4 linked regions of the Drosophila melanogaster genome follow. The protein of the gene in region 1 purifies or fractionates together with the protein of each later gene. This does not show direct contact. Each region holds a gene or a part of one and is shown on either strand. Other genes may lie near its edges. The genes, in order: Iswi, CG8677, Caf1-55 and Nurf-38.

Region 1 (9,301 bases):
TCTTAATTTGATAAGCCGGCTACTTCCTCACTTCAACTTCATTTGATTTACAATTAACATATGATGACGTAATACTTTATAATCGCTTTCCGCTTAGGGAATAATAAACTGCATCCTCATAAGCTTTAGATTATCTCTAAAGTGGAAGTCAAGTCTCTAAGATTAATACTATATCTTAATTTTGAAGTAGTATTATTTATTTAGACTTAAAACTTAGTGATAACCTTAGCCTATTTGTTTAAACTGCAATAAATTTCTATTTGATTAATGGAGTAGAAGCTTAGAGTTCAATAAATTGCTGTCTATATTATAAATCACCTTTTTCAATGCTTTAATGAATCCTATTAACTAACGACGTTCCAACATTTTTTATTCATTCTTGCAGGTTAAAACTTCGCATGACATTTGCAGGGATGCCAAGGTTTCGGCTCTGGGATTTGCTGAGACAGCTGAGAAGGTCTTCGAGTACGGACCCAAGGGAATGCGACCCTACTCGAATTTCGCCAAGTGAGTAAAGCTTACAGGAGATGATCCCTAATGCTAATCTATTTAAAAATCTCCAGGCAATTTGTGGATATCGGACTGATGGCCACCTACTATGCTGCGGCATGTGTATATATCGTATTTATTGCGACATCCTTCCACGATGTCATTAACTATGATTTGAAGATCAACTGGGATGTGCGTATTTACATTGCCCTAACCGTGATCCCCTGTCTGCTTATCGGTCAGATCCGTGACCTGAAGTGGCTGGTGCCATTCTCCATGATGGCCAACATCTTCATTGTGGTCACATTCGCGATCACGCTGTATTACATGTTCGACGAGCCGCTGGTTTACTCCGACAAGCCACTGATCGCCAAGGCTGCCCATATTCCACTCTTTTTCGCCACCGTGATCTTTGCGATGGAGGGCATCGGTGTTGTGATGCCCGTGGAAAACTCGATGAGGAAGCCCCAGCATTTCTTGGGATGCCCCGGCGTGCTTAACATTGCTATGGTCACTGTGGTCTCGCTCTATGCCATCATCGGATTCTTTGGATATGTGCGATTTGGCGACCAGGTGCGAGGCAGCATCACGCTGAATCTGCCGGAAGGCGCCTGGCTGGGCGATACGGCCAAGCTCCTGATGGCCGTGGCCATCCTGTTCACCTTTGGCCTGCAGTTCTATGTGCCCAACGAGATCCTCTGGCGCAAGATCAGTCACAAGTTCAGTCCCGAGAAGCACAATATTACACAGATTCTGCTGCGCAGCGGCATTATCCTGCTTAGCGGTGGTGTAGCTGCTGCTATCCCCAACCTGGAACCCTTCATCAGTCTGGTGGGTGCCGTGTTCTTCTCGCTGCTGGGCATCTTTGTGCCCAGTTTCGTGGAGACCGTCTATCTGTGGCCCGACCGCCTGGGCGTGTGCAAGTGGAAGCTGGTCAAGAACATCTTCCTGGGCGTGTTCTCCATTCTTGCCCTGGTTGCTGGTGCCGTCGCCAGCATCAACGAGATCATCGAAATGTATAGCGACGACGACTAAGGATTCGATATGTATGGGTTCAACCTTCAAACAGAGACGTAGTATTACACTAGATGCAGGTAGCTCCAACAATGGAAGCGCGATGAAAGACAAGTATGAGTTCAAAAAGCAGGCGAAGCCCACATTCACATCAGACCCAACTTATGGCCATGTTGAACATGGTCAAGCGGCTCGGATGCCAAATTGCCGATGCCGTTGACTGCATGAACAAGATGATATTAAGTTTAAGTGCCCTGTTACACAAACTAAGCAGCAATTCATAGAATTTATATATGTTATTACGTTAAGTTGCTCAGCATTCCAAAACATAAAGCGAACAGTACCAAAACATTCAATATGTCGCCTTTTACTTACGGGGAATCCACCTCTGAATATAAAGTGAAACAATCTGTATGCTGTGTTGATTTATATAAATATAATGATTATAGTCTTAGAACACAATACAATTATTTGGAATAGAATACAGCGGCACGCAATAGTAATGTAGTCGGATGTGTAGGCGGGTGTTTAAAAAAACTTCAGATTTTGGGGGTGGGGTTGGTGTGATATTGCTTCCGGCGTGAGATATGAACTATTAACTATATAGAGTAAAATATGTTTAAGTAATCGCTTGTCTTAACTATTTAACTGCCTAGTGCTGAGTGTAGAGCCGAATCTCAGAAAAATATCTGTTTGCTTTGTCGCTTTACTTCTTCTTCTTTTTCGAGTTGGAACTGGTTGCCACCACCTCGCTCTTCCGCTTTTGACTGGCCTTCGGTTGGGGCGCGGGTGCTGGAGTGTTCGAGCTGGCACTTCCACTTCCAGCGGACACGCTGCCCTTTGGTGCCTTTTTCTTTTTCTCGGCGCGTTCTTTCTCTTCCAGCTCAATGTTTTCACGTTCAATAAGGGTAATCAACGTGTTGCAGCGACGCTGTAGCTCCAAAGCGGTTCTAGATTTGATGAACCAGTCAAAGCGGAATTGCGGAGAAGCTCTGTAAGAGAACGGAAATGTATAAGGGGTTTACTCATATTTAAAACCAAGTTTTTGCTCACCTTATAGCCGCTCGCAGCTCTTCGTAGACATTCTCCTTGTCAAAGCCCAACTTGTGAAGCATGCATACCAGAAAGCGATCCTCTATTTCAGTGTAATTCTTGCCCTTGTTATTACCATATTGCAGCCGCAACTGATGGAAGGGGGCGCGATACCGCGACATCTACAACAAAAATATATTCATATATATTAAAGATACTCTACAGAAACAATGCTAACTACCTTTTGATCCAAAGCCTTCTTAATAGACAATCGCCGTTGAATCTTGCCCTCTCCACGCTCAATCTGTCCCATTATTCGCTCAATATCCTGCAACTCAGTGCATCGCTCCCAAAACACGGCGTTGTACTCGATAACCTCCTCCGGAGTCTTGCCCTCCACGTCCTTGGCAATGTTGTCAATATCATCCCGACCGTACTTTTCGTTAGCCTTGATGAACTGGTTGAAATCGCGCTTGGTCCAGGCAGTGAAACCCTGTGAGAGTAGATTCTCCTTCTCCTGGATCTCTTCCTCGGTAAGCGGCTCTGCCTCATCGATCTTGCGCTGCTCCTCGCGCTGCACTTTGGTGGCATCCGATCCTAGTTCCGTGTTCTTGGGCACCTTGTAACCAACAGTCTTGCGGAAATAGTAGATTTCCTGGTCGAGCAGCTCAAACAGACGGGGTGGGAAGAACTGAAAGTCCTGAACGATAGGCTGCTTGGGTGGGCGGGGAGCCTTCGGTGCCTTGGGTTCGGAGACACGGAGAGCCTCGCGGAAATAGGCATCCACAGCATAGTTGGCTTTGCGTTCACGCTTCGGTGGCTCGATCCAGTTGCCCAGCGCATTTAGCTTTTGCTTCTCGCGCCAATCCTCACCCTCGAATTGATATACGGAAGAAGTTCCTGCCTCGCCGTTTGTGTCCATTGTGAACGTCCGCAGCGAACTCTCGCCCAGACTGTCCAGTGCTGCCTTTTGCTCGGCCGTCTTGGCCTCACCGCGCTCCAAAATAACATCGATGTCCTCATCGGTAATGTCTGTCTCCTTAGAGCTGAACACTTGGTTAGCTCCAAAACGGATTATATTAAGCATTTCATCCTTGTTCAACTGATTGGAGCGGTTGTCAACCAATCTGCCCCCCTGGATGACCATCTTGTCCAGACGGAGCTTGACCTCTGCTCTCTCCACGATCTTCTCCTCCACTGTACTTTCGGTGATCAGCCGGAAAACGCGCACTTGCTTCTTTTGACCAATACGATGAGCACGATCCATAGCTTGCAAATCCATTTGAGGATTCCAATCCGAGTCGTAAATGATGACAACATCAGCGGTAGCCAAATTGATACCCAAACCACCGGCTCGGGTGGACAACATGAAGAGAAACTTGGCGCTGTTGTCCATGTTAAATTCCTGAATCTGCCTGTTACGATCTTCGTGCGGCGTCTGACCATCCAGGCGGCAATAGTTGTAGTTGCGCCAGTGACAGTAGTCCTCGAGGATATCCAACATCCTCGTCATTTGTGAGAAAATCAACACACGCGATCCCTGCTCTTGGAGCTTGGGCAGCAGCTTGTCCAGAATAGCCATCTTTCCGGAGTTATACACCAAATGCGTGTCCGTGGTGTATGGCGGACCGGGCTCGGCGCCATCAAACAAATATGGGTGGTTGGTGCACTTGCGGAGCTGCATAAGGATGTTCTGCAGTCGCATCTTCTCCACTTTGCCAGCACCGTTCACTACATCAATGTCCTTAAGCAGCACCTTGGTGTACCAGTCGCGTTGCATCTTGGATAGACCCACAAATATTTTCATCTCCTTCTTCGGCTTCAGACGCTTCTCCACTTCGGCCTTTAGACGACGGAGCAGGAAAGGTTTCAGCACGGCATGCAAACGCGTAATCAATGCATCGTCACCCAGGCAGGTGTTCGTGTTGAACCATTCGTCAAAATCCTCTGACGAATTAAACACATCGGGCAGCAGGAAATTAAGCAGGGCCCACAGCTCGTGGAGGTTATTCTGCAGCGGAGTACCCGTGATAAGTAGACGATTAGCGGTCTTAAACTCTCGCAGAATCTCCGACAGCTTCGACTTCTCGTTCTTGATACGATGCGCCTCGTCGATGACCAAATAGCGCCAGTTGAACTTCTTGAATACAGACTTCTCGCGGATACACATCTCATAGGAGGTCACGCAAACGTCCCACTCGCCAGGCATGAGCACATCTCTAATGAAGGTGTTACGGGTGTCCTGGTCACCAATAAGGCAGACGGCTCTGAGGGAAGGACACCACTTTTTAAACTCATTTACCCAATTCTGAAGCGTTGACTTTGGCACGATGACGATGTGTGGTCCAGCTTGATTTCTGCACGCAAATATGGTATTTAGAGATTTCTTTAAAACAATAGATGTTTATGAAAACTCACTTGAAATGCTTGAGGTAACCCAGCAGAGATATGGTCTGCAGGGTCTTTCCTAGACCCATTTCATCGGCCAGAATTCCATTGATACCATTTTCGTAAAGCGAAATCATCCAGTTAAGACCGCGAATCTGGTAGTCACGCATCTCTCCACTTTTGATGTAGGCGGGTGAGGCATCGAAGCGAAAGATCTCCTTGGTGGCCGAGTCTTCCGCCAGCAACTCCTCATCCTCCTCCTGCTCTGTCTTGCGATGACGATGACTGTTTAATACAAAAGTACACCAATAGATAAAGTAGTTGGCTTTTTTATAGGGGGAGTTTAACTCACTCGGCCACATCCTTTTCCTTGTCCTTGTCTTTGATCTTCTTGGGTCTACCCTTAGGCTTCGTGGGACTCTTAGCGCTGTTAGTCATGAAGTGGGTGAATATCTCCGTCTGCTTTAGCAGGAAATCAAAGCGCCTACTGCGATCAGCCTCGATTTTGTTGTCGAACTCAGCCTCCTTTTCACCGGATGAACTGGTGGCCGCATCTGAAGTCGTCTCGTTCTGGCAGAGTTCAGAATATATGTATAGAAGTCCTTAGACAAAGCCTGCTGTATATTAACTTACCGAGTTCTCTTCGGTTGCCTCCACGGCAGCTGTATCTGTTTTGGACATATTTGCAATGCCGGCGTCTGTCTCTAAATGAACTTAATTTTTCCACAAATTTCCCCTCGCCAATCAAGCGTGCTGCACACTGGTGTCGTTTAATGTGAACTGAAAATCGAGTGTGCAACCTGTTAGTTATACTTTCAGTATATAAATAAAAGGCAATTTACACAAAACAATGTTTGTTTCGCTTAAACAAATTGTAAATAATTACATGCGATTTTTTTTAATGAATGGTGGGAAATCTGCGCGTGCTATCGCTAGATTATGCGATGAATGCGCGAAGTTGGCTGCGGCAGCGACGGTGGCGGCAAACAAATCGAGAATACGAACTATCGATAGTTTTGATGGATTACTATGAATGGCAGCACTGGCCGTGTGCCGTTATTATTAGTTTTAGACAAAGCCGTTATTCTGATTAATCAAATAGGTTATCTTTTTAAATTGTTTGCGTTTGTTTAAAAATTATTGCCTAATGTTTAAGTTTGAGATGATGGAATATAGCAGGAATCGAAAAGTCTAATGGGGTCTCATAATATTTTAGAAATAAGCCCTGTGGTGGAAACTGAATCTAAATATGACAATATGTACTACATCGTTTTAGACTTGAATGGCTGCCCCAAACTATATGAACAAAGACAAAATCTGTTAAATTACTTAGACAACCCCCATATTAAAGTATTTAATAGATATATCGCAAGAAACCCCCCGAAAAAGAACATTTAAAATGGTGCTAGGTGTGGCCAAGGTCAGCGCAGATAGAAAAACTACCACCCGGCTTATGGAAAACCTGTTTTTGCCTGAAGCCCAATACGGTCACACAACCACTCCATCACCTCGTTTCGTTTGAAAAAAAAACCATCCAAAATGAGTAAATACGACTCAAAGTACCTCGAGGAGAAGCTCAAACGGGAACTGCAGACGGAGTACGTGAGTGTTACGGACGAATCAGACGGCTGTGGCGGCAAGTTCAGCGCCGTAATCGTATCGCCAGCCTTCAGCGGCAAGACCCTTCTCCAGAAGCATAGATTAGTTAACTCAACGCTTGCCGAAGAACTGAAAGAAATCCATGCATTCTCCCAGAAATCCTACACACCCGAAGAGTGGGAGAAAGTGAAAGCCCAATAGTAGTACCGAATAAAAAAAAACCAACAACACACATACATATACACGAGCGATACAACAACAGCAAACACTAGCCGCAAAAACCTGTTGTTCGTTTTGCTGATGGTTGCGCTTTCCGATCGAAGAGACGAACAAGCCGAAAAACGCCAGTCGCACAAAGAAAGTGAAAGGGAAAGCACAGGAATCGGCAGCCAGAAATAGGAGTTACCGAATAAACAACGCAAATGATCCACTAAATGCATAAGTTACATAAAGAAATACAGCCATAAAAGTTTAACTACTTGTCGCAGGTCGTCCACTCGAAAGGCATTAGCATTACAATTCGAAACAGCTGATAAACCGATAAAGCCATAGCCAAACGGAATACAGAACACACAATACACGGAGATCATCAAGAACAATGCTCAAGTTCCAGGTCCATTCTCCGGGCAAGGTCATACTCCATGGCGAACACGCCGTGGTCTATCATCGTCCCGCCCTCGCCGCCGTAGTGGGTTTGGGCACTACTCTGAGATTTCGGCAGCTGGAGGACAGCCAGGTGGCAAGTTTTCAACTGGAGGCCCTTAACTGCACACTGGAGATCCAGTTGCCGGAGTTCAATGGATTTTTGGCTGAATTTAGGAGTAAATACCCATCAGATAGCACGGCCAATCTGTTGGAAGCCGTCCGCGCAGAGGTGTCCAAACAACTTGAACGATCCGGAGGCAATGCACCGAAGCAGCACACCCAGCGGGCATTCATCTCCATATACTATTTGCTGGCCGGCGCTGTACTCTCCGCACCCGGCGACAAGAAACTGACGCTGCAAACCGGTTTCCAGGTGCAGGTAGACAGCCAGCTAACCGTGGGTGCGGGTTTGGGCAGTTCCGCCTCTTTCGGAGCAGCTTTGGCCACGACATTTCTCATTTTGGCCGGACACTTTGATAGAGACAGCTACTTGTCGGAGGCAAACCAGGCGTTGATCTCGTCCTGGGCTTATGAATCGGAGCGTGTTAATCATGGCACGCCCTCGGGTCTGGACAACACTGTATGCACCTACGGCGGAATGTTGCGGTATGTCAAGGGCCAGGGCTTCCAGTCGCTGAAGATCCAGAAACCACTAAACATCCTGCTGGTGGACAGTCGTGTGAGTCGCAGCACCGCCGACATTGTGGCCAAGGTTCGTCATCTGGGAGATGCCTTTCCGCAGCTCATCGAGGCCATTTGGCAGGCTTGCGAGGAGCTTGTTGCCGCCGCCGTTCCACTCTACGAAAGCTTTGGCAACGCCCAAGACGATAGCTCGAAATTCGAGCAACTTGAACGCCTGTTCCAGATCAACAATGATCTGTTGAAGGCTATCGGAGTGTCGCACCCGAAACTGGAGCAAATCTTCACCATCGCTTTTAAGCGTGGCTTCTTTTCAAAGCTGACGGGCGCCGGCGCAGGTGGCTATGTCATCGTTCTGCTTCCAGAGAACTACGAGTGCAACGAGGTCTACTGGAAGCTTAAAGAGGAGCTCGAATCGGCGGGTTTTGGTGTTCATGTTACGACTGCCGGCGGCGAGGGATTGCGCGTTAGTTCGCTGGATGACTGATGCGGTTTCGTTTTGTATTGCTATTGTATGTATTCGTGGTTTTGTTATAAATTAAAGAATAAAGATTTATACATGTATTTTGTACGGCAATCTGTTTGTTTATCGTTGACTTCTGTCCCGAGATTTGTAGACAATTCCACGATTCTTCATGTCACGTAAGGTAGACTGCGGCAGTGTTCCGGATACAGAAATGGCATAGATACCACGAGTAAAGCGGGCTAAAGGAAAATGATTTCAAATATATCAGTAATACCCTTTTGGAACGGAAGTCATTCAGGCCTTACACAATCTTTGCCACTTGGCCACCCAGGAGTCGGTGGGCGTAGTTAGGGCAATAATTCCGTCAAAGTTGTTGCTAGTGTGATCATAGACATTGTCCTTGTTGTTTTTCATTCGCAGGAACTCCTCGCAGTTTTCACAGCCATCAGTCTCAAATTGATCAAAACTCTGCGGGCGATAAATGATTTCAATGAAAATGTGTGTCGAGTCTGGGCAAAATATAACCCACCTTCACTAGGGAGCAAACGAGGCAGGCGCGAAGTCCTCGCAGATCCTTGGGTATCGCGTCAAAGGCCATATTTACTTATCAATTATGGGTTTAAAACTAAAAATACAAAATCCGTGCAAAACCAAGCCACGACACTGACAGAGTGACCGTACTCTAAAATTTTCTTGAATCTACGATATCGATGGGCGCCGGTTACACCCGACAAAAATTGTCAAAAGAATTTTCACGAAGCTAACCTTTGTATTAAAACGTGTTTTAAAAGTGTATATTTCCTTAGCAGCTATATGAATTTTAAACAAAGTTCAACGGCTTGGGCAGTGGCTTATTCTTTTTTTGCTTGTAATAATCCTCTAGAATTTCAAAATAGATCAAAACCAGTCCCAAGTGAATTCCTGGATTGGCTCCTGAAAAGTTAAATGCAATTTTGTAATCCTGAATTGGAAGTATGGGCAGAGAGACCTCGTCCAAACGAAAGTTACGCGCAATCAAATGACCCTTTA
Region 2 (7,910 bases), on another chromosome or scaffold:
TTTTAAAGCAGAATTGATAAGGTCGTCATACTCGTTAAGCCGATAGCTCACGTTGATTTGCCGCCGCTTGCGCAACTTGTATATGGGTTCATCATCCGAGTCAGAAAAGCTAGTGCTATTGTCGCTACTTGAGTCAGATCCAGATCCGGATCTAGAGCCACTGCCTAAGGATTTGCGGTGGCTGGAGTCAGATTCGTTTCCACGACGGCGCCTGGTGCCTCGCTTGGCAGCTCTCCTATTAATGCGTCCATCTCCGCGACGCCGCTTTACCTTTTCAGCCTTGCCGACTGCCATATCATCCCTATCGTCTTCGTCCTCTTCCTTTTCGCTCTTGAAGTTTTCGTCCTTCGCCGCCAGCGTGGCCGCCTCTAGCTCCTGACGCTCTCGCTCGGCTTGCTCTTCAGCCAAGATCCGCTCCTGTTGCTTTTGAGCTACCAATGTGTCGTATTGCTCCAGCTGTCTCTCCAGGGCAGCTATGAGCTGCTCCTGCTGACAAGGAGGGCAGTGCCAATCGCCCTCAGGAATGTAGAAGAGCACTGGTGAAAGGCAGGAGCAGTGGTATCCTTTGTTACAGGTAGGCGTGTCGCAGAGCAAAATCCACTCCGGATGGTCAGACTTGCCGCATTTCTGACAAGCTTCCTCCGCATCCTCCTGTAAAATAAATCAGCATGAATGTTACTGCATAGTGATTTTAGTGACCACTTAAGATATAAAACACATTCTGGATTATAACGGGTACAATAACAATGCAAGGAATAACTCAAGAAATAGTTTCTTCTATTTTGAATAGACATTCAGAACGGGAAAGCTAACAAAATCAATTTTGTATGCTTTCTAATTAACATTTTTAATATTTACCTCCTCTAGGTCATCGGCGTTCTCCTTCCGTACGGTGCGCGCCCTTTTCATTGGCACCACTTGAGACTCATCTTCAAGCTCCGATTCTGGTGAAAATTCGTGATCGGACCGGAAGAGTGGCGAACCAGGATCCGTTTCATAGTGCGGTGGCTCCTCCTCCTCCTCCTCACTTTCTGGCTGTTCTTCTGAATCGGAAGACCAGCCATCCTTGCCAGGACACTTTTTTTTCTTCTTATTACGTGCCTCCTCCTCCGCCTCGCTGGCCTCGGATTCTGATTCTTCTCCTGATGGTTCTAGCACAGTAGGATCTGCTTCCTTCTCGGCTTTTTTCTTTTTCTTAAGCTCCTGTTTCATGGTACGTAGAGCAACCTCCTCTTGCTTTCGCCTTTCAGCTTCCTCTTTGATCTTCTGCTGGGCAATGCGCCTAGATTGGCGCACAGGTGTCTCCGAGTCGTTGGTCTCAATGATATTGGTAGTATCCACCTCACGCTTCTTTCTCGGCCCACGTCCACGACCCACCTTTGGCTTTGGCTCCTCGTTGGGCTCTTCCTTGATGGGTTTCTCCTCAGGTTTCTTTCTATTTTCTGGGCTTTCTGGGGCTGGATCGTCTTTAGCTTCAGATTTTATTTTGGTTGAAATTTTCTCATCATCTTCGGATTCCTGCTTCAGCTCAGCATTGACCTCTGGCTGCATTTTATCCCTGGCCCCACCTCGAGTCCTTTTTGGCTGAGGAAGCTCAGAGTGAATGACAGCAGGTCCACCTCTGCGACCAGAACGACGGGCAGATCCCTCCGGTACAGGCGATTGGTCTTTAGCTGAACGTAATGAATCCTTGACAGACATTGCAAGTGGGTCCTCGACTTCCTCCTGTATGTCCTGCTCGTTATTGCGCTTCAACTTCTCGCTTACGGCTGACGGAGGCACTTCAGTAGGGGAGGATTCCTTCGAAAACGCCTCATTTGCATCCTCACTGCTACGACGCTTGCGATGACGCTCGTCCGGTTGACAAAGTACATTAGATGCTGGAATTGCAGGCACGAGGGTCTCACTGTTTGTTCGTTTTCTTGGTATGGTCTCTTCTTCACTCTCCTCCTGTCGTAGTTGTGTCAGGAGATTTTTCTTTAGGGGCTTGGTTATCGGTGTTTTTTTTTGCGGACTTAAGGAGATGATGGGCGGTGTAGCTTCTCTAGTTTTCTGCATCAGTTGCGTTGGCATCTCCATTACTTTTTCAGTTGTCTTTTCCGGCAAATCCATCTCTATACTTTTCTTTAACTTTCTTTCAATAATTTCCTCCAGAGTGGGCTTGGTTTTAGTGTGAGGAGCTATACACTTGCGGCGAATACGCGCATCGTCTTCTCCGCTGGACGAAGTAGTTTCTTCTATCTGCGTTTTTTGAGCCTCCACCTTTCGCCTGGACTCCGCGTTAGTGGTCTTCGGTCTCATTTTAATGCGCTTGCCGCCCACATCTAGATCGTCCAGGGTAGGATCGTCATCTTGCGGTTCCTCTTCGTGCACTTCGCTTTCGGAGGTGGAGTTTCGTAGAGCGGACTGAGAGTCATTAAGACGCCGCTTGCGATTTAATAACGTAGATGTCTTAGATATTTCTTCAACAGCACCACTCGTCCTTGACTTACCGTCAACCTCTCCGGATTTTCCATTGTCTTCGAAAAGTAAGTTTTGGGATGTACTTGGTTCTATGGTTTGAACTTTTTCCGAAATCCTATGTTCTGCAGATGGCGAAATATTGATTTCAAGACATGTTGTATTCGTTTCGCTTTTTGAAATATCTTTAGGTGGATCATCTTGAAGCAAGGTTTTAATAACCCCTTCTGCCTTATCAATTTTATTTATAATAATACCTTTATCATTGGTTTTTCCTGCATAAGGGTCAATCAAACATTTCGATTTTGCTGTTTCATCTTCCCCATCCGTTGGAGAAGATTCAGATACTGATTCCTTAGCGCTCGTTGCCGTTTCCTGTTCTGATTTCATTTTGGAATCATGTTGGTTAGGTACAGGGCTTTCTGTTTCACACGAAAGTTTCTCATCACATGCAGTGTCCAAGGCATTTGTCGAAATTTGCTGATGATTTATTACCAGTTTATCCTCAACTGTACCGCTTTCCAGGACGCATTTTTCTGTTACTGGTTTCTTTGTATTGTTCAGATCAGCTGGAACTTTATGCTGATCCTGAGTCTGAATAGAGGAGTTATCACTTTCATTTGAATTATTTTGTAAGACTGAAACTTCTGTCCTATTCCTCACTCCTTCTTCAATTGCCTCACTTTCGGTACGACCTTTAGAGATTTCCTCATTCTTTTCGATCACGCTTATTGTACTATCCTGTATATTCCTTTTAGCCACTGGTACGGATTCCTTTTTTTTTATTTGATCATCTGAGATTTTATTTACGTTAGCTTCTTGGCATATGTTAGTCTCTTCTAATGTAGCTGCACTCGCAGATGCTGTTTCTTCACTATCTCCCAGAGTTTTTGTGAGTTCGCTTCCATTTCGGGGCGGTGTGTTCACTATACACTTTTCGCTTTCACCATTTGTTTTCTCCTCGCTCAAGCTGTCAAAAATGCCCCGTTTTGCCTCTGGTTTTGATGTTTGCTTCATGGGACTTAGCTTGAGACATCCGGGCTCGCCAAAAAAGAACGTCGCTTTTGGTTCCGATGTGCGCGTTGACGTTTCCTCCACGGAAGCTTCGTTTTTACCATTCCCCACGAGACAGTCGGTCCCCCACCCTTGACCAATCACATGGAGCATTGGATCTGCAATGGCTTCCCCGATCTCCAAGTCATCCTCATAATCAAAGTTGCCAATTAAATTATAAGGGATGGCTTCACAGTCAAGTCCTGATCCTTGGCCCTGCACCACTATCGTTGGATCCTCTATAGGCTCTCCAGTATCTTCCTCATCGTCATCTTCCTCGATATCCGCCGCCGCACTATCGACATCTTCCTCTTCCTCACCCTCATCCAATTCAGAATCCTCCTCGTCCTCTTCTTCCTCATCCTCTTCTCCGGACTCTTCTTCGATTTCATCCTTAGTGCTTTCGTAGCGACTTGGCTTTTTGATTCGCTTTGTATCAAGCAGTGTGGGACGGTGCTTCTTCTGCTGTTCCTCCTGGGAGGCTGTGGGGCTGCTGTCTACGTCTTCGATAGAACGTTTTTTGGTTGGGGCCGGCGATGCGCTACTCGAAAGTTTGGCCTGGCTAATGAGCAGTGGCTGAAAGACCGAGAATGAAATCTTATCTAAAAATGCAAAGCTCCTTGGTTAAATCCATACACACCTTAACCTTTTTAGACTTTTGATCCTCTTGCTCGGGAGAGCGGAGTTTAATCTTTAGATTGGGTACAGTTTTTTCGGGCTCATCTCCAACTTCCTCATCGTCCTCTTCTTCTTTCTGTTCGGGGGGCGGTGGTTTGGGATGACAACTGTTGCTGCTGCTGGTGTCCTCATCGGCCTCACCAATGTCCTTCGAAGGAAGTACCACCTCATTTCCGCGCAGCCTTGAAATGAGATTTACAAACTCGTCCCTGTTCGTGGCAACCACCTGCCAAATTTCCTCGTCTAGATGCTCCTGGTAGATCCGCAGATTACAGTGGGCATCCTGAGTCAGCCAGTAGGCATGTCCCAACCGGTCCCTTCCAATTGGCTCAGAGCGTAAAGTATCGGCATTCAAGGTGAGGATGTGGGCCCGAAACTTGGCATTGCGTTCAAACTGACTTTCGAGAAGTTCCTGTACGGGAAAGACGCCCTTTAGAACGGTTTATCAAGTGGTACGAAATTCGTTACTCACCCGAAATATTCGCAGCTTAACCTTCAAGCTGGAATTCCTATAACCGAAACGTTCGATTTCCCAGGCATCTTGCACCGAGTAGCCGAAGCAGAATTTGCTGAGGGCGGACTCCCAACTCTTTTCGTGAACCGTCTTACGGGTCTTACGGAGCAGCTTTATGTGCAAGTCCCTTAGCTCAGGAACTACAAAGATTCGTTATAATTAAATATTAGTAAAAGTTCTGCGAAAAGGAAGAAAGTGACAGCGGAATATAAATGGATTGTGGGTGGATTATGAGGGCAAGTGAAATAAATGCAACCGCGTTTGTTGTAGTGTACACTTTTTGTGTCTGCTGTTGCTCACGCAAATACATACAAAACGTAGAAACTTAGCATGATTATAACTTTTTTAAACAAATATATTTTCAGGTTCCCTCCCACTCGTGACCCTAAATATTTAATATATTTCCAGATGCAGGTGTACATTAAAAAAAAAAAACCAACTTTTAGTGTTCAATTGTAGCTCTCTTACTATCTCTCAAATAAGAAGACCAGAGCAAATGTGGGAAATATTTACGTCTCTCCCAGATTTGTTTTGTATATTGCGCTTGTGTTGAGATGAAAACAAATCGCAGTGCTCTCTCTGCCATTGAGCAATCTCTTTCTCTCTGACGAGCCAAGCACGCTCTCCAGAGCGGAGCATTGTTAAATCTCTGGAGCAGACCTATTCGAAAACACTACATCCGTAGTTTCCACCGCCACTTGCCCCACGATAATTGAACCTGACATAAATTAATTTGGCAAAAAACTGCTTCCACCCCGCTCTCTTGATACCACCACCCCACCCTCTCACCATCGTTGTTGTTTGTCAACCACTCCTGCAGATGCTTGAAGTTGGGCAGGTTAAGACCCAGGTCCTTGCCGAATTTTTGCAGGAAGGCGCAAATGACCGCAAAGTCCGGATCATTGGCGCATGTGTGCAGCGTGGAGGTGAGGGCGTCGTCGTCCTTGCACTCCTCCGATATGGAGTCCGTCGGAAGCGGGATCGGATTGGTGGGCGCCGCAGCCGCAGCTGAGGACGCCGCCATTTTTCATGCGTCCCCGAGAACCAGCGAAAATTTTCGGGTGTTGTATACTACTCTGGCAAAACCTCAAAACGGGCACTGCAAACACGAGTCATTTGTCCAAGGATCAAGTTCTCTGGTCGCACGGCACTGCGAGACTTCGAGGGTGCATATTTCTTGCCGCGAGACAGCTCTTGTACGGGATAAAATCCTATTTTAAAGCAAGCGAAAATGCTTTATTTTCTGTTGTGAGTTTCAGTGTGGCCGCGCAGTCACTTTTCGACAATACTGCAGATTGCACCCATGTAATTGAAGCGAGTTGGCAGTCGATGCACTGGGGAACTAGTTTCTAGTATACTTGGCGTATGCATGAAAACGATTTTTACAAACTACGAATACATTTATAACTTACTCAGATTCGCGTTAAGACAGTTTTATTTTTAAGTTAGCGCTAGACTATGAAATGTGTATTAAATGTTACAAATCTAAAAATTGTTTTACTATTAAATAGGCTATGCAAAATTTATTAAATCGACGAACAATATAGGTTATAATATAAATTAGGAACAAAAGGTATAAAGTTTTAGTGTAGATCAAGTTGAAGTAGGGAAATACATTATGGGAAATACAATTTTGCTAAGACAGAAGAACCTTATAAGAAGCTTAACACGTCCACTGTTTTGTTCCGATTTGATAGAAAATTTGACACAACACTTAGATAATTGTAGATACTTATTGGAAAAAACTATTTTAATGTTTATATAAAAAGAAATGAAACTGACATATACACACTAAATGCACTGTAATTGTGTGAAATATGAGGTAATTTTATGATTTTTCCAATGCAAATATATGCGGATACATGTATATATATTGTCCATTTCAATTTTTAATAACAATTTTACATTTTCCGTTACACAAATGATTTAACGGTATATATGGCATTTGGTGAACACGGCTGGTTCAGTTCCCGAACCCAGTTCCAATGATGATGATTTATGTGTGTGTGTGTTGTGTGTAGGGGGAATTTGTTGATAGATAGAACGAGAAAAACAGTCGCAGCAAAACAACAAAGACGACGCAAAACAGTCGAATTTAGTTTTCAATATCAAGTGAAATCATTTCGCTTTGCTCATCTGCCATCGTCGATCAATATCTTGTGTACTCAAACGACGGGACTCTGCAACTGAATATCGCTGAAAAAAAGCATCTAAAGACCAGTGAAAGTGTAACTATATAAAAAAAATACAATCACCAAAGCACAAATCTTCAGCAGCAATGACCACATATCAAATGAACTTCAACCAGGACTTTACGTAAGTAGCGACATCTGTGCTTAAATCCTTAAATCCCGGAAGGTCACCAAAGCGAAAAGTGGCAAACAATTGAGACACAAAAATCGACAAATGAGACGGGTAAATAAGGCGAAAACAGCTGCTGTGGGGAAGGTGGACGGGGATCGTTAGTGTGTCTGTGGGTAAGCGTGAATTGGCGTCATTTTTCGTGTCGTGTGTGTGTGTAGTTTATTAGAACATGCAAACAAGCAGTTCCAATTACAATAGCATGCATTCATCTAACATTTTGGAATGCCTTTCCCGTTTCGGGAGGGGGCTGGGAACCGAACTCGGTACACTGTCAGTGGCCAACAAGCGACCGATTTAGCAGTATTTCCATTCTGATGGCCACTGTGCGGGACACCAACACTCGCACAATTGGCGCACAATCAATTGTTTATGCGCAACAGCTGATGACTAAGGAACAAATGAAAGTGCGGAGCGATAAGGATGAAATAAAATGACAAGAAACAAAGGGGGTCAATCTGGCGGGAGCGCACTGTAGCTATCAACGCAGCCTTAATCTCGAGCTTAATTAACCAGTTTCGCTATTGCACGGTACGTTGATGTCATCCAAGAACAGGGTGAGGGAAGAAGTGCGAGCAAGCCTTAGAAAGAAACGCAAACATCAATATGACTATTTGTGGTGAAAATCGAATCGAAAAGAATATAATCTGAAAAATTTGTCATAGCTCAAACAAAGCAAAAGAGAGATTTCCAATCAGTAACAAATCAAGCACGGGTGAATGTACGCGAAAACGCAAGTCAAACAATTGGCTATTATCTTTTGGGGGTTTTCCTACGATACTCTGTAGTTTTAAAAAAAAAAACTCAAGTCTCAAGTCTATCAGCAATGTACAAATTTAAAATG
Region 3 (7,016 bases), on another chromosome or scaffold:
ATAAGGATTTGAAGTACGTGAGTGGCAAGGTAACGTTAATGGTGTTCTTCAAACCGGGCACCGGGGATAAGCTGAGCGCAGGCACATCAAAATCGGACAATCCGTGCAACTGAAAGTTGTCAATGGACCCAGTGAAGCTAGAAAACAAATGAATTTGTAACGCCTCTAAGCGCACATATTACAGCATTTGCTTACTCCACGAGGTATTTGTTGTTCAGTTCTGTTTCAGCAGGCCCCAACTGCAGTGGGTCCAATGCGGGCAGGCCTAGATTCGGGATTGGGTGGCACATGCGCATACGGAACTCCTGAAGGAACGCCAAGATTTTCGCCTCGTAAACGCAGGCAGCGGGCGACAGGCATGCGTAGAGAATGGCTGTGGCCAGCAGGACCTGTGAAGTGAGTTTTGCCCGCTGCATTCTGCTGATTGATTCGCTTCCGTTCGGTTTGGAGTAGCTACTGGTATGCCAGCGTTCGCCCGCCCTGATTTTGTTTGCTTACTTTTCAAGTGGATCCCATCGTGTGTGTCAAGATACGACTTTTATTTCAATATTCTGCCAAAAACTTATCTTTGCTAATCGCGGACGGGGCCCGAGTACGGCCGATTACCGTGCGGATTGCTGGTGCAATCTAAGCTCATACTGAACTTTTAATAACTAAGGTCTACTGTAGTATTGGCTTCGGCTAAACTTGCTCCGGCGGCTGGCGCAAGTGCTCTGGGATCTCCTGCAGCTCAGTCCTGGAAGCCTGCAGCGCTACGCCCTCGGGCAGATTACGTTCAATATACTCTAGAAATGTATCTAGCGTGGAGCCCGTCAACTTGTGGAAGTTCATATAGCGGAAGTGGGTTCGCACCTCGTACTGTACGCGATGTTTCTTGTAGATATGCACCGACTTCAGGAGCGTCATCCGCTCGTGGTGCGCCTTGCGAGGTGACCAACTGCATGAGGATTAACGAACACATATGTATGTTAGAGATTTCCTTTACCGGAGGATTTTTACCTCTTACCATTTTCCCTTTTCAATGCCCAAATGCTCGGCAGCAGTAGTAGCAAACCAGGTGTAGCTCTTCAGAACTGCCGGATCAATACCCCGCAGCTCAATCTCCAGCTTGCTGTAGAGTTTATCCGGTTCCGGAGCAGGTGCCGCAGGTGAAAGATTGCCTTGTACGCCGGAACTGGTGTTTACCGTGGACAGAGCCCGCATTGGCTGTGTCCAGCGGAGCGTCTTTATAGCCTGGGAATATAAATCTAGATGTTTCATATGCATTTTCATTGATATATGGGATCTAAATACCTGTAACATATTAAAAACTGTATTTACACCTAGAATTATGCAAGTGCGGCAGCCGCAATACTGCTTATAACGCCTTTTCGAAAATACTGAAAAATACTACATACGTAGTGTAAATGTTTCTGTGAGTCTATAGTTACTTACCTACCCTGTAATAAAAATGAAATGTAAATTTTTTTCTTTAAGCCTACTTCTTCCAAGCAGAAAATTAATTTGTTAAAATATCAGCGTAAACATAATTTCACTTTTACAATGTCGTCGAAAGTTATTCTATAACATATATCCCCTGCGATACCCTCTAAAGCAACATTTCAAGTATACCAAAACGCGTTAAGCTATTTTCGTTTCCAAATTTCCGCACGTGTTCGCGCCGCTCAAAACCCCATTTAGTTGGCATTTATAAATTTGTGATCTTCGTCGTGCGATTTGAATTCTTTTCTCTGAAAGCAGGCCAATAGGACTTGCAAACAAAGATAGCATGAAAGACACCGAGGTCAACGGTTCGAGCCCGTAAAAGCTTTTATTTCCTGGAGATGATTACTTATTAATCCCATCCCAATGTAGACAACACCACAGAGGAGGAGCCCGTGAAGGAGGCACCTGAGGTGCCGGCCAATTCCAGCTCCGACGAAGATGAGTACGATGACATAGATGACGATGATGAGCCAATGGACGAAGGCGATGAGCTAACCACTTGTCTGTTTTGCACCGAAACATCTGCAAACATCTCGGTGGCCATTGACCATCTTGACGCCCGGCATAAAGTGAATCTGTCCCAGCTTCAGCGTAAATTCGAAATGGACCAGTATTCCTTTATCAAACTGATAAACTACATAAGAGCCAAAAAGATCAGTGCCGAGCAGTTATTGTCTGCGGAACATCCGCTTTGGCAGGATGAGAAGTACCTCCAGCCCGGGGAGTATGAGCCCTGGCTCTGCTATGACTACGAAGTCCTTAAAACAGACGGCGCTCCGACGCAGCCCTCGGTTCTGGAGCTACAACAGCGGATTGCTGAGCAGTCGCAATTGCTGCAGCAGGCCAACGAGGACATGGAACGCATGCGCAACGACTACAAGGCGCTGCTGCAAAAGGTACATGCTGACGGCGAGCCCAAAGGTTCCGACCAGAGCGTACCGCGTAACAACGTTTGTCTCGACAACGAATACTTCAAAAGCTACGCCCACTTTGGCATTCACCATGAAATGCTCAGCGACAAGGTGCGGACCAGCACCTATCGCGCGTCTTTGCTCCAAAACGAGGCCGTTGTTCGGGGCAAGACAGTGTTGGATGTGGGATGCGGCACGGGAATCCTATCCATCTTCGCCTCCAAAGCGGGTGCAGCTCGCGTTGTCGGCATAGATAACTCGGACATTGTGTACACCGCCATGGATATCATCAGGAAGAACAAGGTTGAGAATGTTGAACTGATCAAGGGACGGCTGGAGGACACAGATCTCCCAGAGACTAAATACGACATTATAATATCCGAATGGATGGGCTATTTTCTTTTGTACGAATCAATGCTGGACAGCATTATCTACGCCCGCGAGAATCACCTCAACCCCAATGGCATAATACTGCCCAGTCGCTGTACACTCAGTCTCTTGGGCTATGGAGACGACACGCTTTATGCCGATGAAGTGGAATTCTGGTCTAACGTTTACGAGGTCGACATGAGCGATCTGCGAAAGCAATCAATAGAGGAGCCACTCATGCAGGTGGTGGATGCAGAGTTCATGCTGACGGAACCCGAACAGATAGCTAACTTCGACATAATGACCGTCGATATGAACTATCCAAACTTTACTCACCAGTTTAGCTTAAAGGTCACGAAGCCGGGACGATTATCCGCCTTTGTCGGTTACTTTGAAACATTGTTTGAACTACCCTCCCCCGTCATGTTCAGCACATCACCATCTGCGACGCCCACCCATTGGAAGCAAACGGTTTTCTTCATCGAGAACCCGCAGGTTGTGAAGGAAGGAGACGTCATTTGTGGGAAAATCACGTCAAGAAGACATAAAGAGGATGTCAGAGGACTTAGTGTGGACATAGAAGTCTTTGGCAAGAAACACAAATACAATGTGGTTTAATGTGCTTCTTTTTGAATAGAATTAAATAAAATACGCTTGAAGATCTAAGTTGGTATTTAATTTCAAAAAAATTAACCTCATTTCTTGACTTTTTAATCATTTTTAATTAAAAATTCATAGATTGTACAATCTGCTGACAAATGAGAGCTTAATTAAATTTTGTTTTTAAAAATATGTAAATATATATAAATTAAAATGAGTACCCATTGCCATTTAGGCTGGATAGCTGGACACGGGGCACGGCCAAAACATTATCGGATTCAGTTGTAGTTTGGTGTGTATTATAGGAGGCGGAACAGATGCTTTAAGCGGTATTGGTTTCTAACTCGGAGGCGGGAATCTCTGGCTCCTCGTCGTTGTAAACATTCTCGGCCATCTGCCAGACCTGCATAATATTGTCCTCGGACACGGAGCAAATGATCCATGGCTCATTGGGGTTCCACGAGAAATCGCTAATCTTGGCAGTGTGACCGCCATGGATGAAGAGCAGCTCGGGTGGTCCGTCCTCAGCATCCTCCGTACTCTGCTCCTCGCCGATTTTGGACAAATCCCAGACGTGTAGGCGGCGGTCAGTGCCGGAGGAGGCGAGAATAGTCTCGTTATGCGGCGACCACTGCACTTGGAAGATCTCGTCCTTGTGCGACTCGAAGGAATGTAGTTTTAGCTTGAGGTTGCGCAGATCCCATAGAGCTACAGTCTTGTCAGCGGAGCCCGTGGCCAGAATGAACTCCGAGTAGGGATTAAAGCTCAAGCAATTGACTTCCGCTGTGTGAGCGTCCACTGTATGCGAGGGCTTCGAGGTGTTGTTGTTGCGCGTGTCCCAGATCATCAGCTTCTGGTCGTCAGCCACCGATCCGAACAGAGACTCATGTAGCAGATGCCAAGCCACGTCCTCAACAACGGCGGTGTGGCCGGTGAAGATGTTCTTGGCATCAATAACCCTATGCTCCTTGGGTGTGGCATTGATGTCCCACAAGCAGATGGTGTGATCATCAGAGGCTGACAGCAAATAGCCTGTAAGGACAATCAAGATGTTCATTAAGGGTTAAAACGTAATGCATTTTAGATGTGTCAAGCTCTTATCTGAGCTAATATATAAGTACTAGGTACAGCTACGCACTTACCATTGAGGTTGGGATTCCAAGAGAGTCCGTAGCCTTCCTTTTGATGACCGCGCAGCCGCAGGTCAGGCTGGCACTCGCCAGACGGTTCCGGCTTGCTGGGATGCTTCGTGTAGTCGAAGACCAGGACATCACTCGACGGCGTCTTGGTGGCGATTACACAGGCGTTCTGGGGCATGTAGCGGGCCCTGTTCACTTCGCCCTCGTGGTTGATCTTAATCTCGATTTCGATTTTGCCGCACACCGATCCAAAGCCTCCAAACTCGCCCTTCTCGTTATCGTAGTGCGAACCATCGAACTGGGCATCCTCGCTGGGCAACTGAACGCTGGCGATGAGTAGATGGTTCTGCTCGTCAGATGTGTGTGTGCCCAGTATAAGACGATGTACCGAGTAGTCCTTGCCATCCTGCTTGGTCACGTCCGGCAGCCACTGGGCAGTCAACGAGGGCCATTCCAGGGCATGCGTCATGACCAGATCGTACAGGAACGGCGTGTTCTTTTTCCAAATCTTATACTCCTCATTGATCACGCGCTCCTCGACGGCGTCGTCGAAGGATTCCGCTGCTAAAGGTCGATGGTTACACATTGCGGCGATTAACTTCTAACCGGACTTACCATTATCGCTGCGATCCACCATTTCGAGGCTTTTAGGCACGCAATTTCTCAGTCTGCGTCAAAAGTCGGCAGCCGAAAAAATCGGGCGCCAAAACAAAAGCCGAAGCGGCAAAACGTGTGCAGAAAAACTACGAAAGTTCGCTACGTAGTTAAAGCTCTCGCAACGAACACTTGACCGAAAGTCGTTGTGGCAGGGATTGAGTCGAATCCTGGCCGGGAACTTACACTTTAAACGGCGTAACGTCAGGGCAAAATAGAAATTGGCTAATTTCCTTCGTTTTTTTGCAAGCGCGTCGTCGATGATAGAGATGCAATGCTAAAGATTGTCGAGACGACTGCCATATTCGATTACGATAACGATAACAGAGTTATGGAGATGACACTGCGCGGTATTTTTATACTTGTTACGTTCCTGCGTCATGATTTTAGTATTTTGTGGTTTACATCGATATATTTGGGGTTTTAAAAGGTATATTTTAACGGTTGCAGTTGCGGGCACACTAAAGTGCATAAACAAAGTTTACTACTTAATTCGTTATCAGTGCGAATGATTCGAAACCAGTTTACGCGCCAATGACCGGCTTTCCATTCTTATTTGACGAGCCTAACGTGCCAGTTGCAGTTAAGTTCCCCAACCGCAACGACGGTGGGCAGCCGTGATTCATCCTCAACGCTTTTTTTCCAATTGTGTATGCAAAATGTTTTTGCACGTAACGAGCTGAACTATTGAGTTTGCTAAATAGTTTAACAAGCAATAATTTGGCCGACATGCAGGTTGATGGTTGTACCAGCAGCTCATCCGAGATCCCCCATCCCGCGAAGCGTGAAACGTGTAAGTGCACAGTGGACTTGTTGGCGGGTTGAATGAAAAACTTTCTCTCTTGGCGCGCCGACGATTTTGTTTGTCTTTTCTTTCTTTCACTTGTGTAATCCGAATTTGGACCTCAAGCTCGTTTTCTACATCGCACGTCACTTTCCAGGGATCAGTGGGAAAATGCAGTCGTCATCGCATTCCAAAGATGGTCATAATGCAGCGGGGGCTTCAAAACTGCTTCAGGATCACCAGGAGCCCGAGGACTACTTGGAGCACCTAATGAAGGAGGGCAGTCAGGAGGGCGACAGCGGTGCTGATTTGGAGCTACCTTCGTGGTACGATGAGCAGCTATTCAGGCGGTAAGTTGCGTGACTAATTGTTCACTGATTGCATATTAGCCCAGTAACCACAGTAGAAATAATTGTGATAATTACAATATCCATATACACATGGGTTATTTATAAGCTTGGAGTTATGTAGCAGTTTGCTATGTGAATAATAATGCGAAAAGGCAGCATATAATACTTATCTTTATCTGTGCTCATTATTCCAATTTTGTACCTACGGGCTTACATATTAATAACAAAAGGCGACATACATTTACTTTTAACAATATATATGTATATGTACATGTATGTATATGTATATTTTAATTTAAATAATATAACTGCATTCGAATTACTTAATTGATTCTTTATTCCTTTTCCTTGCAGTGGTCAGAGCTACTTTAGCACGTATCGCTTTGTAATGAACGCCGGAATGCTGGCTGGTCTTATTGCCGTGCTGGCTATTCCATCCATTCTCCGGGTGCTGTCGTGCACACGCCAATCCTCGACAGCGTTCACCGCCTACCGTCGCTATGTGCGTACTATATTCCACACGCAAGCCTGGTATAACCACAACATCGCGGACCGTGGCAGCAGGTTCTGGACCAGCATTGCGGCCGTGAGGCGGGCCCACAGCCGCTCCAGTCATGCGTGCGCCCGCCAAGGAGCTGGACAGATCACCCAGAAGGATTTGGCGCTCACGCAGTTCGGTTTCATTGGCTTCATAACGATGGGCGCACATCGCATAAAGCTGAAA
Region 4 (7,576 bases), about 12 Mb from region 1:
TACAGCACACAACAAACAACACACACCACACACAGCTGAGAATCGGTGCGAATATCGTGGGTTGGAACGAGCATCCGCATCCAGATATAGATCCAGATCCAGATCGAGAAACAGTCCCACTACGACCACACATGCAGAGCCAGAACACAGAAATCTAAAATATTAAAACGCCCAAATTTAATTCGTACTTATTTATTACTGTATGCCTTACAGTTTTTACTATATGTGTTTTTTTAAAAACGAATTATTTTTATTAATTTATTGAGAACGTTATGCGTTTGTTGTAAGTAACATAATTGGGGAGTGGGAGATGGGCGATGATGATGATCAGATGATGATGATGATGATGTGCAGGAGGAGGATCGCAGATCTCGCACTCCCCACATATACATAGAAGCCGAAGTATTTATTTTTAAGTATTCTTAGCTTGTTTTATTATTATTGCGTTATGCGGTTTGTATATAAAATAAACAAAACGAAATCCATTGTTTTTAATCTATGTAATGTAAAATGATAACTTTTATTTTTGTATCTGTATTCTACTGTAAAATCAGCATTTAGAGTTTACATTTTACACGATTTTCCGCAAGGGCAAAACTACAATGATAAAGATAAACCCATACGAACACACACATACACACATACACACATACACACACACTCACACACACACATATATACACCGCAATCGAGACCGAAAGTATTTTGCAAATGTATTACACTTACAATTTTGTGCTATTTTGTAAAGATGAAACCCTGAATTAGTGTAAATCTGTTGGCGCAAAACGGAGATATGTATTTACCTATATAGTATATAGTATATGCATACCTATCTAAAGCTAAAGCCTTACATATATCCGAATACGAGTACCCTACACACATGCTAAATATTAGAGAGAAACGCAAGATCGCAATTTGTGCAAGACACAAACAAAAACCTGGTAAAAACACGCGAAGAACGGAACGACTGCATTACAAATGTGGCAATAAATAATACATAATTAATAAAACCCTGTAAATTAATAAAGGATAATCAATCATTCGCTGGCTATTTGAGAGCATCAAAATTGTGATAAATGAGAATTAGAATGCGAATGCGCGACGCAGGACACCGCCAGAGAAAGAGACCGCCATACAGAAGGCGACAGAGACAGACAGACTGCAGCTGGCGATTTGCGCGCGTTTCTGGCGCGACTAAAAACGCCTGCTTACCGTTTTTGTTTTGGTACGTTATAATTTTCTTTTGTTTTTAATTAATTATTTGATTTTTGACCTTGTGCATTCTTGGCTTTTAACTAGCACTCAAGCTAAAAATTTGACCAACTATGCTTTACTTTTTGTTAAATTCCTCAATAATCCTCGAACTGTTGAGCTCGTATTTTTTGAGCAAACAAACAGAACAAGATTTTGAGAACAATAATTTTTGTGATATATTCAACCATACCTGAATATGGCTTTTGAACTTTGGCTCTTTTTTCTTCTGAGCAAGCTATACACCAAATTAAAAAAAATCAGGTTTCCTAATTCCTCCTCCTCCTTTTGTTTTTGAACACAGGCAAGAATGCTTCGGATCGCCCTTCTTCAACGCCTGCATAGAGGCTCTTCAGCTGCACGAGGAGATGGACAAGTATAACGAATGGCGCGATACCCTGGGTCGCAAGTAAAGTGCGATTCTCTGGGATTTTCTGGCACCGTCACTGGCACGAGCAGCTACTTAATTCTATGAACTATTAACTAAAACTATTATTATTGATAACTGTGGCAGAACACGGCACGAAACTATGGCAACCAGGAAACGATCGACCCGAGGAATGTGTACCACTTGAAGAAACAACTAAGCTAACATCTAGCTACAAGAGAAAGCAGAGCAAAAATGTTGAAAAAAAAATTATGAAGACAATTACTAAACTATTACACGCTACTTATCCGCACTTATATCGGAAAGTCTAAATTGGTCTATATGTTATTTCTATCATCTGTCATGAAACAGTCTCGTGGAGCTTTTAGTTGTAGTGAATTACGTAAATTATGCTTATTTCTTTTAGTTCTTCGCGCAGAAGGAAAGCAAAAAGTTATGCCAAGAATCAAATATGAGAAGAAACAAACAAAAAAAAAACAAGCAAACAAAAAAACGAACGAACAAACGAACAAGAATCAAAATGTCTGATGTATATAACTATTTTTGTCTTCTTTTAAAGATTTCTATACATATTTATAACGCCTAACTGATTTGTACATTTCTTTTATTTCGTAAGCTTAAGTTAATTTGTTACGGCAATAAATTTTACGTTCCACACCTTCCCACACATGCTCTCCTGCAATAGAACGGAAATCACATCTGAGCAACACCACACGGCATAATTCGATTCGATTCTATGTAGTATTGCAATGCCTTACAATTACATAACTTTTAATTAATTTAAACTTGTTTGGATCTAGTCGTAAAATATAAATAAAGATTGTATATTTCAAGAGGAATCGACAGCGAATTTGATTGCGGTGCAAAACTTTATTCAACGTACGATAATATTTCAGTATTAATAATTCACAAGTGCAAGCATTTTCGATTCGATTGGACTACAGATAGATCATGGATCTTGTGATGGAATCAGCCCAGGAGAACATCTCACTTGAGATGAATGAAATGCCAAGTGTCGACTGCAATTACAAAGGACGTAAATTGGTATAAAAAGGGTTTATTTCAGGATAACATTCAGTATAAAGTATATGTACAACGATTAACGAACGCAAGCAAGCCAATTACATAAATTGGGTTTCAGCAGTATTTACAGCATGGAGTAATCTCAATTTAGCTTGCTAACTGGACAATTAAAGTAGCTATTAGTAAGCGTGCAGGTTGTGTTTGTGTAACCAATTTGTTTGCAAGTTACTGGTGGTTAAAGCGTGTGTTGGAGTAGTGTGTTTTTGGTTGGGATCGGGTGAAGCAGCTATAAGTTCGATCTAATATAGTGAACCTTACCTGTATCAGACACCTCCTCGACCTGGCCGCCATCGGGGGCCTCGGCCAGTATCTTCTCGGCCTCCTCCTTGGGAATGACGTGCTCCGAGTTGCGGTTGGTGATGTTGGTGCTGCGAAACGGACGTACTTAGGATTAATTGTAAATGTATAAAATGGCATTTAACCCACGTGGAGATGGACCCGGATGCGGGGCTCTGGTGCACCAAGTTCTGCCAGAACTTGTGGGTCTCGGCAATGATGGTGTTGGCAAAGTCCGCATTCTTGGCATCGCCGTTGAAAGCAAACTGATTCTCAGGCTTGCCATCGGGGATCTTGTAGATCTGCGAAATGCAAAGGGTAAGAGAGGGAATCGTCCGAAAATCGAATTCCACCCACCTTGAACCACTCAACGGTGGCACGAAGCAGACCCGGGAAGTACTGGTCCACATCGGCGATATCATTGACTTTCGAGGCCAACGGATCGTTCACATCGATGGCGATTATCTTCCAGTCGGTTTCGCCCTCGTCAATCAAGGCAATGGTGCCCAGCACCTTGACCTTCAGCACGTCGCCGCGCTTAGCCACTCGGTAGCCAATCTCGATGACATCGATGGGATCGTTGTCACCCTTGCAGCCGGTGGAGGGCTCGATGTGGTCGGGGTTTTCCCAGGTCTGGGGCAGGGCTCCGTAGTTCCAGATGTAGCCCTTGTGCGGGAAGCAGTTGGCCACGAACCGCAGCTTACCCTTCTTGATGTCCTGCTTGATGGGATTCATAGGGGTCTTCAAGCTAATCTAAGGGTCAGACATGCAATTTTTGTATTATTCAGAAGTATGAATCTTAGGGACAGGCAGACCGACCTCCATTTTCGCGTTGGTCCAACGTGGCACCTCCACCACCATGTTGTAGATAGTTTTCTCCTCGTTGGCGTACAGTGGAATGTCGTGCATCGGCGAGATGACATTGCCGCACTTGTTTTCTGTGGAGAATGGCCAGAAATTATTATGCCTGATATATGGGCGACACCTGGACACGCGATTTGATTAATAGTGACCGGGGACCTGTCGGCTAGACAAAGGTCACTAATTTGCGTGCCAGTAAACCGAAATTCAGCCACCAGTTTCGATATCTGCTATTCGGAATATGGGCTAATAAAGGAAAGAGATAAGCCCAAAGGGGCCGAAACTCTTGGTGTTTCCGCCATTTCCGACGCAAGACAAATCGGATCGGCTGATAGTGCTGATAATGCGTCGAGTTAAATAAGCAGAGTCCGGTTTGACCTGTTGCATAACCATTCCGGTACCGATCAACTAATTCTAGGTGCATTAACTGCACCGAGTTTGGGTAACTTGCAAATGCGCAAGCAAAGGGTTAAGCCGGGTCACATTCACATTTGGCCCCCAATGCGCTACTCTACTCACTGAAATACAGGCTGTAGCTCGGCGAATTCTTAGCGCCCTTCTCAACGGTTTCGTACAGAGCCATCTCGTGTGATTTCGTGCGCTTCCGTTCTATCTGAATATATCTGCAATTGCTGGCAAGGGCCGCTGGTGACGTTGGAATCGAGCCGGACAAGCGACCAACCGCACGTGAAGCGTAAAATGAACTCCTTGTAATTTTCGCCAACATTTTCTTCAGCCCTGAGTTGAGTCTATCGATAGGGCGATAGGACCCGATTTTACAGTTAACAGTGCTGCTCAGAAAATGTATAGCTCGATTCCATTTCATCCATTCCAATGGAGAATGAACTTCATTTTTTCATACAATTAGAACTATTATTATAAATATTATTATATGAAAACTATAACATTATAATTATTATTATTAAATATAAAATACAATATTGTAATTATAATTATTATACAAATCTATTTACAGTATAAATAAGACAACTATCAAAACCTTAAAGATTATTTAGTTTTTGTCAAATCGTAAAAACTTAAACAAAATATGCTTTGAATATGTTCATACCTGCAGAAGAAGCACTTAGAAATATTTTAAAAGTTTCATATAAGTGATTGAATTTTTTATAAATTCGAAGTCAATAGGTTTTACTTGTACTGGTTACTGATCGTTGCGAAATTGTCCGAATTCTGGTCATGTTAACTTAACATTAACAAAGCTTCCAACTGGGAACTATCGGTGCTATCGGGGATCCGAGCAGTGTCATCGATAACATTGGCAATCGAGTTTTCTAAATTCTGAGTTTTCTTTTCGTCTGTCGTGTGTGCGTGTTGCCTTGCTTTCGAGTTGGCGTTGCAAAAATTCCCCTTTATTTTGCTGACGAGATATTCCAAAAGAGTAAACAAACCGGGGGATCCAAGAAACCCCAGCTTTTATCCGAAAGCAGTCGTTACACGTACATTTTCAAGTGCCCGTGGCAACAAGTAAATTCCCCCCCTCCATTCACTGCAAAATCTCTAGTGAAATGCAGAACGGAAAACCGAGATCTTCGGCCAGGCCGTCGTTCCACCGCCGTCCCAAAGACGGAGTGGCCAACACCACCACTGATAACGCTGCTGTCAAGCCGGAGGCCTTGGAGAGCTATACGGGCAACGACGACAACGCCTGCGTGGTGTGCTTCAAAAACGTGGAAATTTTCTCCATCGGCGACTGTGATCATCCCGTGTGCTACGAGTGCTCCACTCGGATGAGGGTTCTCTGCCAGCAGAACGAGTGCCCCATCTGCCGCCACGTCCTGTCCAAGGTAAGTCCTGCGCTTGTCTAGAGAACCGAATCTCTATCTAATTCTAAAACACTTGCAGGTTTTGTTCACACTGGACAAGCTGCCCTATCGCGAACTGGAGGCAAATAACCGCTCTGATTTATACAGCAAGAAGTACCGCATCGGCTTCTGCACCGCAGAGATAAGACAGCAATTCTTCAAATTGCTCGACCATCCCTGCCCGAAGTGAGTATTCTGCCCGCACTTGAGTTGCACCATTGAGGCTCACCCTTCTACGCTAAATTGCAGATGCGATGCACCTCCATACCGCACGTTCGAGGGCCTTCGCAACCATGTTCGCAGCGAGCATAAACTTCTGTACTGTGACCTATGCGTCGAGACCCTCAATATCTTCACCTTCGAACGGAGGTGCTACACTCAGGCGGAGCTGCAGCTACACAACACCAAGGGCGATCCGGACAATCGGTCGCATCGCGGTCATCCGTTGTGCGAATACTGCAATAAACGCTATGTGGACCGTGATGAGTTGTTCCGTCATTTGCGCCGCGAGCACTACTTCTGCCACTTTTGCGACGCCGATGGTTGCAATGAGTTCTACAATGACTATGCGGATCTGGCGGAACATTTCCGGGCGGAGCACTTTCTCTGCGAGGAGGGTAAGTGCGCCACCGAGCAGTTTGTCGGCGCATTCCGCAACGAAATCGAGTACAAGGCGCACGTGGCCAACGTGCACGGCAAGTCGCTCAACAAGCAGCAGGCCAAGCAGACGCGCACCTTGCAGGTGGAGATCACTTTGGGGCCTCGTGGCCGTAGTGGGCAGACGGAGCAGGGCATAACCAGCGTGAGAACCAGGTGAGTGAGCGGCCATCCAATTTGAAGAAGGCACTCTTAGAATGGTAAACCTTACAGGAATGACGAGCACAACGACTACCAGAACGATTTGCCTTCGATCACCCAGCGCCATGTGAGCATTGATGCTGGCAACGAGGAACAGTTTCCCACATTGAGAGGCGCTTCCACAGCTCCCAGCGTATCCTTGGTGAGACCGCCACCGCCCTCGATGCGCAATCTTAGTGGAACTTCTGGTCTTGCTCGGACCAAAGAAAACTTCCCGGCTCTGGGAGGAGGAAATGGAGGTGGTGTTACTGGGCCCACTAGCAGCAGCATTGCCGCCCGGGCTGCTCAATCGCAGCACCCCGTGGCAGCTGTCTTTAAGAAACCCACAAGCGCGGCAGGTTCTGGCAGTCGAAGTGGGCCTCCCGGTAACGGAATGCTCCTGCATGTGTCAAATCGATCAGCAGCCGTGCCCAAAAAGGCAGCCACGCCGCAGGTAGACTTTCCTGCATTACCGGGTAAGGGGAACAAGAAGAATCTGCGCAACCTGGAGGAGGATATGCTGCCTAGCGGATCGCCAGTGCCGATGGCGAACATCTCCGCTAAGCATCGGTCTCTAGCCGATGACTACGTGTCAGTGGCTAGCCCGAGCACCTTTCAAAAGCTTCAAATGGTACAAAAGGAGGAGGACGAGGCCAAAGCGCGCCAGGAGGCTTTGAAGAAGAGTGCTCCCAAACTCACTGCGGCGGAATTCCCTAGCCTCGGACCGAGTGCCAGCGCCAGCTCAAGCAGGACGACTGCTCCAAAGCCCAGCAGTGGATCTCCTTCATTGAACTGGTCGAAACCAGCTAATGAGAAGAAGCAGCGTGAGCTGGAGAATCGCAAGGCCAAAGTGGCGCCGGCCCCGGTTCTGCCGAGTCCAACATCGAAACCTGCTCCCAAGGCAAGCAACAACAATGTTCAAGAGCAGCAGGCAAATAAAAAGGATAAAAAGCAGAAGGATAAAAAGAGCAACCAGGAGAATCAGCCTAAGACGGCCAAACCGAAGGAGAGAAATAATAACAACGAACAAAAAACCAATGGGGCTCCGTCTACGCCA

The links.
Region 2: the proteins of Iswi (region 1) and CG8677 purify together in Drosophila melanogaster (affinity purification with western blotting; one study listed by BioGRID). This does not show direct contact.
Region 3: the proteins of Iswi (region 1) and Caf1-55 purify together in Drosophila melanogaster (affinity purification with western blotting; 5 studies listed by BioGRID, with this or other methods). This does not show direct contact.
Region 4: the proteins of Iswi (region 1) and Nurf-38 fractionate together in Drosophila melanogaster (co-fractionation; 4 studies listed by BioGRID, with this or other methods). This does not show direct contact.

Annotation. Positions count from the first base shown.
Region 1 is NT_033778.4:12,633,246-12,642,546, reverse strand, and holds Iswi (imitation SWI), read right to left. Parts: upstream 5,877-9,301; 5' UTR 5,766-5,876; exon of another isoform or gene 5,704-5,765; 5' UTR 5,605-5,703; coding exon 5,557-5,604; intron 5,494-5,556; coding exon 5,276-5,493; intron 5,209-5,275; coding exon 4,954-5,208; intron 4,893-4,953; coding exon 2,777-4,892; intron 2,718-2,776; coding exon 2,557-2,717; intron 2,496-2,556; coding exon 2,210-2,495; 3' UTR 1,919-2,209; downstream 1-1,918. Other genes in the region: CG8785 (uncharacterized protein), read left to right, coding at 386-507, 564-1,524; CG33672 (uncharacterized protein), read left to right, coding at 6,463-6,723; Mvk (mevalonate kinase), read left to right, coding at 7,121-8,293; spt4, read right to left, coding at 8,393-8,511, 8,578-8,740, 8,802-8,870; CG33792 (uncharacterized protein), read right to left, coding at 9,093-9,301.
Region 2 is NT_033779.5:21,219,371-21,227,280, reverse strand, and holds the start of CG8677 (uncharacterized protein), read right to left. Parts: upstream 5,970-7,910; 5' UTR 5,730-5,969; coding exon 5,495-5,729; intron 4,846-5,494; coding exon 4,664-4,845; intron 4,604-4,663; coding exon 4,154-4,603; intron 4,090-4,153; coding exon 859-4,089; intron 652-858; coding exon 1-651. Other genes in the region: Atg18b (Autophagy-related 18b), read left to right, coding at 6,984-7,021.
Region 3 is NT_033777.3:15,224,018-15,231,033, reverse strand, and holds Caf1-55 (chromatin assembly factor 1, p55 subunit), read right to left. Parts: upstream 5,459-7,016; 5' UTR 5,142-5,458; coding exon 5,120-5,141; intron 5,069-5,119; coding exon 4,508-5,068; intron 4,398-4,507; coding exon 3,688-4,397; 3' UTR 3,470-3,687; downstream 1-3,469. Other genes in the region: CG34316 (uncharacterized protein), read right to left, coding at 1-137, 196-416; mRpS10 (mitochondrial ribosomal protein S10), read right to left, coding at 682-937, 1,007-1,272; Art3 (arginine methyltransferase 3), read left to right, coding at 1,769-1,790, 1,855-3,383; CG31344 (uncharacterized protein), read left to right, coding at 5,888-5,951, 6,100-6,292, 6,647-7,016. UniProt on the Drosophila melanogaster protein: Core histone-binding subunit that may target chromatin assembly factors, chromatin remodeling factors and histone deacetylases to their histone substrates in a manner that is regulated by nucleosomal DNA.
Region 4 is NT_033778.4:24,556,475-24,564,050, forward strand, and holds Nurf-38 (nucleosome remodeling factor - 38kD), read right to left. Parts: upstream 4,614-7,576; 5' UTR 4,587-4,613; coding exon 4,379-4,586; intron 3,937-4,378; coding exon 3,818-3,936; intron 3,752-3,817; coding exon 3,356-3,751; intron 3,301-3,355; coding exon 3,149-3,300; intron 3,091-3,148; coding exon 2,981-3,090; coding exon of another isoform or gene 2,949-2,980; exon of another isoform or gene 2,678-2,948; intron 2,659-2,677; coding exon 2,627-2,658; 3' UTR 2,493-2,626; downstream 1-2,492. Other genes in the region: CG11414 (uncharacterized protein), read left to right, coding at 5,386-5,664, 5,723-5,868, 5,932-6,495, 6,553-7,576. UniProt on the Drosophila melanogaster protein: Component of NURF (nucleosome remodeling factor), a complex which catalyzes ATP-dependent nucleosome sliding and facilitates transcription of chromatin.